Arabidopsis thaliana: one gene and its partner. The protein of the gene in region 1 interacts with the protein of each later gene in a biochemical or structural test. Each region holds a gene or a part of one and is shown on either strand. Other genes may lie near its edges.

What was found.
Region 2: the proteins of ARR4 (region 1) and AT2G45820 form a complex in vitro, tested with the Arabidopsis thaliana proteins (one study listed by BioGRID).

The regions. Positions count from the first base shown.
Region 1 is NC_003070.9:3,441,446-3,446,380, forward strand, and holds ARR4 (response regulator 4), read right to left. Parts: upstream 2,916-4,935; 5' UTR 2,315-2,915; coding exon 2,137-2,314; intron 2,049-2,136; coding exon 1,972-2,048; intron 1,885-1,971; coding exon 1,807-1,884; coding exon of another isoform or gene 1,725-1,806; coding exon 1,654-1,724; intron 1,555-1,653; coding exon 1,179-1,554; 3' UTR 543-1,178; downstream 1-542.
Region 2 is NC_003071.7:18,862,388-18,866,665, forward strand, and holds AT2G45820 (Remorin family protein), read right to left. Parts: upstream 2,355-4,278; 5' UTR 2,190-2,354; coding exon 2,036-2,189; intron 1,346-2,035; coding exon 1,292-1,345; intron 1,197-1,291; coding exon 1,109-1,196; intron 1,037-1,108; coding exon 760-1,036; 3' UTR 566-759; downstream 1-565. Other genes in the region: DTA2 (downstream target of AGL15 2), read left to right, coding at 3,937-4,116, 4,220-4,278. UniProt on the Arabidopsis thaliana protein: Exhibits a non sequence-specific DNA-binding activity.

The DNA of each region.
Region 1 (4,935 bases):
AAACATAGATCCGAAACACACACGTTAAGCAACATATATACAAAAGTTAAAGCTATCCCAAGCTTAATTATATTGGTCGTGGTTTCTAATGTGAAGATCTTACTTGGATCCAAATGGTAAAAACACATGACCATAAAAAAAGAAACACCAAAATGGGTGCCAGAGACAAGGGATCTATAGAGACTATTTATGGAGAAATATGCCCCAAAGGAAGGGAACAAGAGTTGCCCATTTCCAGCTTTGCATTTATTCTTTCTTCCTCTTCCTTCTTTCTTCTTTTTATTTTCTTGCTTACTCTCTACACATCTACACATGCATAATGATGCATCCACTACTTCGTCGTATATTATAAGCATTTTTTTCTTGGGTTAAATATGTATATTCAAAGTTGCATTAGAGCATCGGCTTGTGCATCTCTTTTGGGAAGGATAGAATTGAACGTCATCGTTTCATCTATTCCCTTAGCTTCATTGCAAGGTTGAAAAATGGACCCAAAATTTGGTTTTAATTAACCGCCTTTTATGCATTTATATTTTTATTCTTTTTTACTATAAATTCATATGTATAAGTTTCAAATTTTATGTTTGTAACCTAAATTGTTTTCATTATCTATGAAATATTTATAATTTAGCCAAAAAAATTAGAGCATCGGCTTATAGTCATTAATAGGAGTATTTTGGGTCATAAAACTGATATATATTTATGGAACTGTTTAATGACTATAGTGGATTCAAATGTTACTAGTTGATTTGTATCTGGAAAAAAAAACCTTAGCTCTCTGATTCTTGAATTGTCAGATCTAGCTAACTTTCTGATTATAAAACCCCATATGTCTATGATATTGACTTATTTAGGACCCAATACATAAGAAAAAAACGCATATTCAAGTCTCGTTATCATAATAAATGGTGAATGTCGAAGGTTCGATTGCAATTTTCCCTTTGTTTAAAGACTAAAAAAGTTAAAAACGTAACTTTGTGCAGAAATTAAAATAATTAAAAGATATTCGAAAAGCTTTAAGGAAAAGGAAAAAAGGCCCACGTGGAGGCGCGAGAGATTAAAGGGACATCTATAAAATTTGACGGCGTCAAGTCAACGTGCAATTAAAAACACCGTCAGAGGTAAAAACGAAGTTAACGGAGATAGATAATATTACACGGCATCCCAGAATAGTTCCACTAATCTAATCCGGGACTCCTCATCTTCTGCCGTCGAATCGGCGATTCCTCCGACGACGACGTCAACACGTCATCATCTTCATCGTCTATCGGAGATGAAAGTGGCGAGGTGGAAAAGATCTCCACCGGAGATAACGGCGGAGACGAATCCGACGATTCAGTCGAAACAGTCAACGGCGGCGACGATTCAGGCGAGATAGTCAACGGAGGTGACGGTGGAGGAAGCGAAGAGTTAACGGAACTAGAATCTTCCGGAAGCTTCCGTTTGTTTCCGTTGGAAAGTTTAACGTCTTTAGTTAAATGACTTCTCAGACGTTTCACGTCGGCGAGTTTCACCGGTTTCAATAAGAAATCTTGAGCACCTTCCTCAAGGCATCTGTTCAAAAATCATTTTTTTTTTTTACAAAATTTTATCAAATCAATCAACAGTTTCTAAAAACTCCAAAATCTGTGAAGAAATCAACAAGAATCACACCTGTCGATTCTGGTCAATACATTCTCCGACGACATGATTACAACCGGAACTTCTCTGAAATTGGACGATTCCTGTTTCAGATGACCGGAAAATTCAACATTGTTACTAAAACAACCGTAATCTGAAACAGGAAAATGGCGGGAAAATGCAGACCTTAATCTTCTTGAGAAGCTCATAACCAGTCATTCCAGGCATACAGTAATCAGTGATGATCAAATCAACTTTCAATCTCTGAAAATATCCATTTAAACTAAATCAAACTCACGAATCGTAATCTTCAAAAAAAACAAAAAGCTGTATCAGATTTCAATAACTTACATCGAATTCAGCAGAAGCTTTCTCATTATCTAACCCTAGAAATTCCAGAGCACGCCATCCACTATCTACCGCCGTAACTGACAAACGATACCACCGGAGATGTAAATATTCCGGCGAGGAATAAAAAAAAGTGAAAGATGTTTTTTTTTTTGAAAAAATACGAACCTTTGCAGGAAGTAATACGAAGCAATCTCTCGATGACAATACGATCAACGAGACTGTCATCAACGGCTAAGACATGAACTTCATCTAAATCCAACGGCGCAGATTCAATTCCTCCGATACCACCGACGCTCATCATCTCCGACCTTCGTAAACAAGAAACACCACCGTCTCTGGCCATAGACGAGCTTATAGTAACTGTGAGGAGAGGATGAGAATAAAATAGAGAGAAGAAGACGAAGAAGAAGAGCTCACATCTGTTTTCTTTTGTTCCTTTCTCTTCCTTAAGACAGTTTTTTATATTTCTGATTTTTTTGTTCTCTAAAATAAATCTTTTATGAGTGTGTCTTTTTGGTTTTTTCAATTTTTATTTTGAAAAATCTCCAGCGAGGAAAATCCAACAAAATCTTTGGTTCCTATTAATGTGAAAATTATATATTTTTATGTGCCGTGCTTTTAGGGTTGAAAAAATTGAACTTTTATCTTTGAAAACAATAGTATTAATAAATAGAGATTTTATGGAAAATCCGGTGGAGGGCCTATGCGAATATCATAGAGAAAATAATATTCCTAAAATCGAATAAATAATAGAGGAGAAGAAATCCGTACAAAGGAATCCAAAAAATAAAAATATACCATCGTGAGATATATACAACTTCTTAGTCAAAATCTCGTCATTACTCATTAGTGTGATTGGAAAAAAAAAACTGAAAATGGAATCACTCACTGTTAAGAATAATAAACCAGAAGATTAAAGAAGCTAATTTTGGTCATACACCATTACAATTCATAGTAGCGTGTTTAAACTTAACCGGCTCGGTTCTTCGGATTGGTCTTATTTGTATTAAGTACTAACCACTAAGACAATTTTATATTGTTCCATGTGATTGGTCAGTTTCTAATTTAAAATTTATGGTTCAAATGCAATTCATAGAATAATATTAAGATCGGGTTTTGTGGGTTGACGAGAAAATTAGTATACGCCTAACTAGTAGTATATCCATCCATATGACTCTAGAAATTTTATGTTATCCAAACACTTTTATTTATATCGTTTTCAAATGGCAAAAAAAAAAAAAAGAAGAAGAGGAAAGTGGACAAATAATAATAAAAAAAAAGGATTTGACGTCCACATTAAAATTTGGATCCGCGGGACCCAGGGAAATCTAAAAGAGGGACCCATAAATATTTTGTTGGGAACAATTTGTATTAATGAAAGGGGGAATTGGACTTTACCTCTCTTCTTCTTTTTTTTCTTTAATCTTCCAAACATAATTTGCTGTTTCACTCTTTTAGACACCACACCGTATCAAATCTTGGAGATCGCTTTTGCTTTCTCTTTCCCACCCATTTATTATATTTTTTTATATAAAATATCATTATTATTTCTTTTTGTTGAAAGGGTAAATGTTTTGATTTTCTATTTTATTTTTAAAAATTTTATGAAAATGTTATGACAATATAGGTGTTTTTAAAAATCTCTTGATAATAAAGAGCTACTATTAAGAAAAAATAGGTATATAAACATGAGAACAATAAATATATATAATGATTCTTTGGCTCTTTATTTTTTCTAGAGAAACAAATTTATTCCAGATTGAATGTAAACTAAAGACGACCAAATCCAATACTATGACATTTTCCTACTTAAAGTTAAAGCTCAAAAGATCAGGTTTCAAGGTTGCTTAGAAGTTATCGATCACAGTCGTGGATGATCAAAGTAGAGTTTTATCAAAAGACTTTTGTTTCTTCTAATTGATAGTGTCTCTAATTTAATCGTTTTTCTACATTAACCAAAAACATCTAACAAAGTAGAAAGAAAAATGACGCGTGAAATAGACAAATCTTACAATGGATATATTGCCCATTTTTATAAAATAATTACGCGAAATTTAAGATTGATTTGAGAATTGATTTTTCAAACGATATGGGCCAACGAATGATGGATCAAATCTTCATGATGTCAACTCAAAATCGAGGGTTGAACAAAAAAATCCATAAAAGTAGTCATCAACGTGTCGCACATAAAATCGTAATCTATCTTTTTTCTAGGAACTTTGGACATCAATTACAAAATTAAAGACATTGACATTTTCCCTTTAATTAATTTTATGTTGGTACTCGATTGAGGTTTGGAGCATCTTTATATTCTAATCATTATTGTAAATATTTTCTACATAGTATAATATATTTGTAGAAATAAAAGTAATTGATTAGTTGACCTAATTATACAATACTCAAAATCATGTACACTTGAATATTTTCATTTTGACGTCTAGATTTTGTTACAGGATCAATGGATCATATAGAAACTCAATTTTAGTCTATACGTACATGGAAATATAGTTGAATCTCAAATCCGAAAATCCAGATTAATGTCAACATAAGCTCATATCTAATCTACAAAGCATTTGTTGGATAACATAGATTGGTCTTTCTCCTTCCTTGGTATCACTCTTATGTTGTCTGAGTTATATCTCCTATCCTATTGATTCTTAGACTTTTTTGTGAGCTAGTAATTATTCTCTTCCAAATTGTGCTCTCTAGCTTTATGTATCAAAAATTTCACCATCAATATGAGGCCATGTTGATCTCGATGAAAACGAAGTTACTCGTTTGTCTTAATTTAAGAAAATTGTGGGCTCTAACACCATATTGCAAAGTTTTTTTTTATTCTTAGTCGTTAATTATTATTTGCGAAGTTTATACTTCTATTTCGATGTGTTATGCTTATTATCACACACACTCATGCAAGAAATGTTTCAAAAACGTCAAGAACAAGGAGCACATAAAATTTCATAA
Region 2 (4,278 bases), on another chromosome or scaffold:
TAGGCATCTTGACATTAGAACTAACCTGCATTGCTCATAGACCAAATTTCCATTGATTTTGGTTTGCGGTTATTTAGGTGTAGTGAGGAGGCAAATCATTCAGCTTTGGCAGCCACTAGCTCGTTCTAGAGATGAAGGCAACACATAGAGTACTGTACTGAGGCAAGAAGAGACAGTATAGGTGGTTGATGGCGATGGAAGCGGTTGATTGTGTCTAAACCTTTAAAGCAGTACCGGCTTGATTTGGTTTGAATTGAAGACTTCTTCTGCTGCATGATATGAACCTTAAAGTTGTCTTCTCTCATCTCTAATTTTCATGTTCTTAGAAACCTTTTCACCTTTTCATTTTGATGTTCTCTCATCTTGAAGACTTGAGAGGAATTTCCGAGTAGTGAGATCAAACCGAAGAAGACATTTTAACTTCATTCGCTTGTTTATTGCTTTTAGATCTCCACCTGTGCCTGAACTGTTTAAGGATTATAGTTGGTGTGTGTCAAGTCAAGTGTCTTAGCATTTTAAGAGTTACAGATCAGATGTGAAGTCGTACAACTGAAACAAAAGGCAAAACAAGATTTGATGCTTCATACAATTATACTCCATTAATCTTTCACTTTTACACACAATCACCCAATATGTAAACAAGACACAAACGACCAAACAAATAACAAAAACTAAAAAGAGTTGTTGAATCACACAAAAACAAAAGAAGAAGAAAGAAACAGAGATGAATTGTTACAAAGATACAAATTCAATAAAGGCTTAGAAACATCCACACGTTGCCTTTGGTACTACACCAGTGGCTCTATACTTAGCACCCATTTCTTCAGCTTTGAGAAGCTCTTCTCCTTTTTTAGCTTCAACCATTGCTCTCTTCTCTTCTGCTAACTTGTGGATTGCAGCTACTTTGTTCTTCATTTTCTCACCGTACTGCGCTTTTTTCTTCTCTAATTTTTCCTCGATCTTCCTAAGTTGAGCTTCTACGGCTGCTTTCTTGCTATTTTCCCAAGCATGCACATCAGAGATCTTCTTTTGTGCCCTGTCCATTTCAAGATCATCAGAGATCTGTAAGCAATAGTAATCTTTGGGTGAGAAGATGATGAAAGTTTACCTGTTCTCAGCCTTTGACTTCTCACTCTCTTCCCATGCTTTGATGAATGACGTTTTCTTCTCTTTTTCCAAGTCGGCAAGTATCACATCTGACCAAACACACACAACACACATTTGAAGTAAATTACTGAACTAAGTAACTAAGAAACTGGACATGAGAAACAAAGTGTTGTTATCAGCTGACCTCTATCGGCCGAACCAGATGAAGCTTTCTTAGGTGTATGCTCCTCGATGGGTTCTGCAAGAAGCACACTTATAAGTATAACACATGGATATTTGTTGCAAGAAGCTCACTTTTAACTAAGTTAAATTTTGTTGCTCTAATTGGCTAATAAGGTCATCAAAATAGTAGTTTATAAAACGAAACTCCACACAGAAGGAATTACAGATAGTAAATAAAGATGAACAAATGAATGTTCAAGGATTATAAAAACTGCTGGAAAGTTAGTACTTAATTGTTATTTTCCAAGAGTTAAGCAACTTTAAAGGAAGGAAAAAATGTAGGAATATTAAGAAAGTAACCCACTTTCCTTAATTCATAGCTGTCCACAACTAATTTGTCATGATTCCATACACTTTTTGATAACACTAATTACAGGGAACATTGCTTTACTATTAATCATATTTTAATAATATCATCCTCGAAAAACATAATTCTCTTGAAAATGCCATGATGAAGTTGTAAATTCTAACAGCGATGGATTTCACCTAAACAAATAGAGTATAGACCAAGTCATATGCAAAAGAACTCACAAAAACCTTAGGCATCTTAAGAAAATCCATTTGTTAATTGTAAATTGAAACCTTAGTTCCAAACGTAAGAATTCTGAATTACATACTATAATAATTCATCGTAAACATGAATGAATCCTCCTAAGTAGAAGATTAACATATATAAAACACACACGTATGTAAATAGAAAGCTTACTTTCTACAACGGCAAGAGCTTTGGACTCGACGGGAGGTGGATTATGAATTTTCTCATCCGCGACTTCCACCGGAGCAGGAGTCGGTTCCTTCGCCGGAGCTAAAACAGCCGGAGATTCTACGTCAACCTTACTCGTCTTTTGCTCCTCCGCCATTGTCTCTCAGCCGAAGAAGAAGAACAGATTTTATGTTTTTTCCGTGAAAATGGATAAAATTGAGATTTTAGGACAATAATGAGTTAAAGAGTTTTTATATCCTCCGTTAGCTTATACCGGTGGAGCGTACTACGCGCGTTTAATAAGTGTGAGACTCTTGTTTTGCTTCGCCGTTGATTTTTGTACCCATGTGATCGTGCGGCTGTAAAGCTCTCATACGCATTGGATGCGTTACACGTGATTAAACACACCTCACTGCCGACAAGTAAAGTGGTTCAATGATGCCACGTCACCTCTGTAGAAAATTTGTCCTCCCCTTCTTTTTTCCTGATATTCAACAAAACTTAATTCTTCCAATTATACCGAACTAAAATTTTGTTTACCATATAAATTGGTTTAAAATTGAAAATCAGATTTTAGCTGGGATTTTTTTATTATGAGAAAAACAACAATCAAACTACAATCAAGAAAATAAATGATCTATATTATTGCTAATCTTGGCTTAACTAAAAAGTTCGTATTAAAAAACTGAATCTAAATTTGGAGTGAGCTCGTATGCCTATAGAATTGACAGAGTGTCGGGTGTGTATTAAATCTATAATAAAATATCAATCACTCGAATTCATTTAAACAATTATTTTAGTTTTAAAATTTAAGTGGATCAAAGGGTGACGTGGAGCCTCACTGACTCGACACGCTGGAAGACAGATACAAAAAGGATAATGTCTGTGTCTCGCGCGTGTACAAAACTTTCCGGTTATGTGGCGCGTGGTATATGCAATTTAAACTGGTTTAAGCATGTGGTATATGGACTATGAGATGGAGACATCTCTTTTTGTAGGTGTTGGGCTTTTGTGAATCCTAATGGCCCAACGGGTTTTTAAATTTCCTGCCCAACTTGTTTTAATTTAAAGAAAGGTGTAATTTTTTTTCTAACAAAGCAATAAAGTAAATTAATTAAGGCTAATCACTAATCACAGACTCACAGTTTCGAACAGCCTGTGAAAGATGTATTAATGTATTTGTATAATAATAAAAAGTACTCTACAACATGGAATTATTTACGATTAATTATCTGTCTTGTATGATGATGAGTGGTCGAATATGGACTATGATGTCACTGACCTTTATTTAATGGGTTAAGGTTTATCTTCTTTCTTCTTTCTTCGAAGTTCGGATTCTTTTATTCAGTTTAAAGCACTTATAACAAACTTTCCCAAAGAGGACTTTAATTAATTGAACTCTTGCAGTTTTATTTTTGTAGTAAGCAGATTATTTTTCTAAGAACATCAAAGGTCTTGTATTTAGTTATTTACCAATAAATACAACGTTAATAAGAGACGATTATTTGGGAAACATTTGTGTATCACATATCAATGTCCATATGTGATTTGAGCATAGGAATACCAAATATGGATGACCAAATGTCTCCTACTAATTAATAAAATATTATCTATTTAATATTTAAAAACATTTTAACTCTTCGAAAAACTAAAAAGTAAACAAGATTCACACAAAAATATGAACGTCATTAACACAAAAGATGTGAACTCTGGTTAGTGTTGAAGATAACGTGAAACAAGATTCAAATCCTCGTGGAAGAGCACCAATCGATCACCAGAATCAAACCTTTGAGCTTCCTCCTAGCTTCGGTAACGTTTAATCTCACCTGATTCTCGTTTTTCTTCTCTTCCTGTTGAATGTTTGTGAACATAGATATATATAAAGCTGAGATAGATATAGATTCATGCTTCAACGGAAAAGCATGAAGAGGAACAACAACAATCTTCTAACGAACAAGAATAAGTATGTCTATCTTAAAACGGCGTCGCATCCAGCAAAAAGCATCGCTAAAGCTACTCTGTTCCTCGTCACCTCTCTCTTCATATCTGCTGGTCTCTTAGACTTATTGGGTTGTTTCGATTTCGTGAGTTCGAATCTGAAGTAACTTCTTTTTTAGAAACTTTTTATTCAATCAAGTGAATCTTGAACTTGAAGAGTTAATAAATTCATATCTCTCTGTACTTCAGACAACTTTTACAGGTCTGAAGCAGGTAACAACTAGTATCAGAAAATCACCAATCACAAG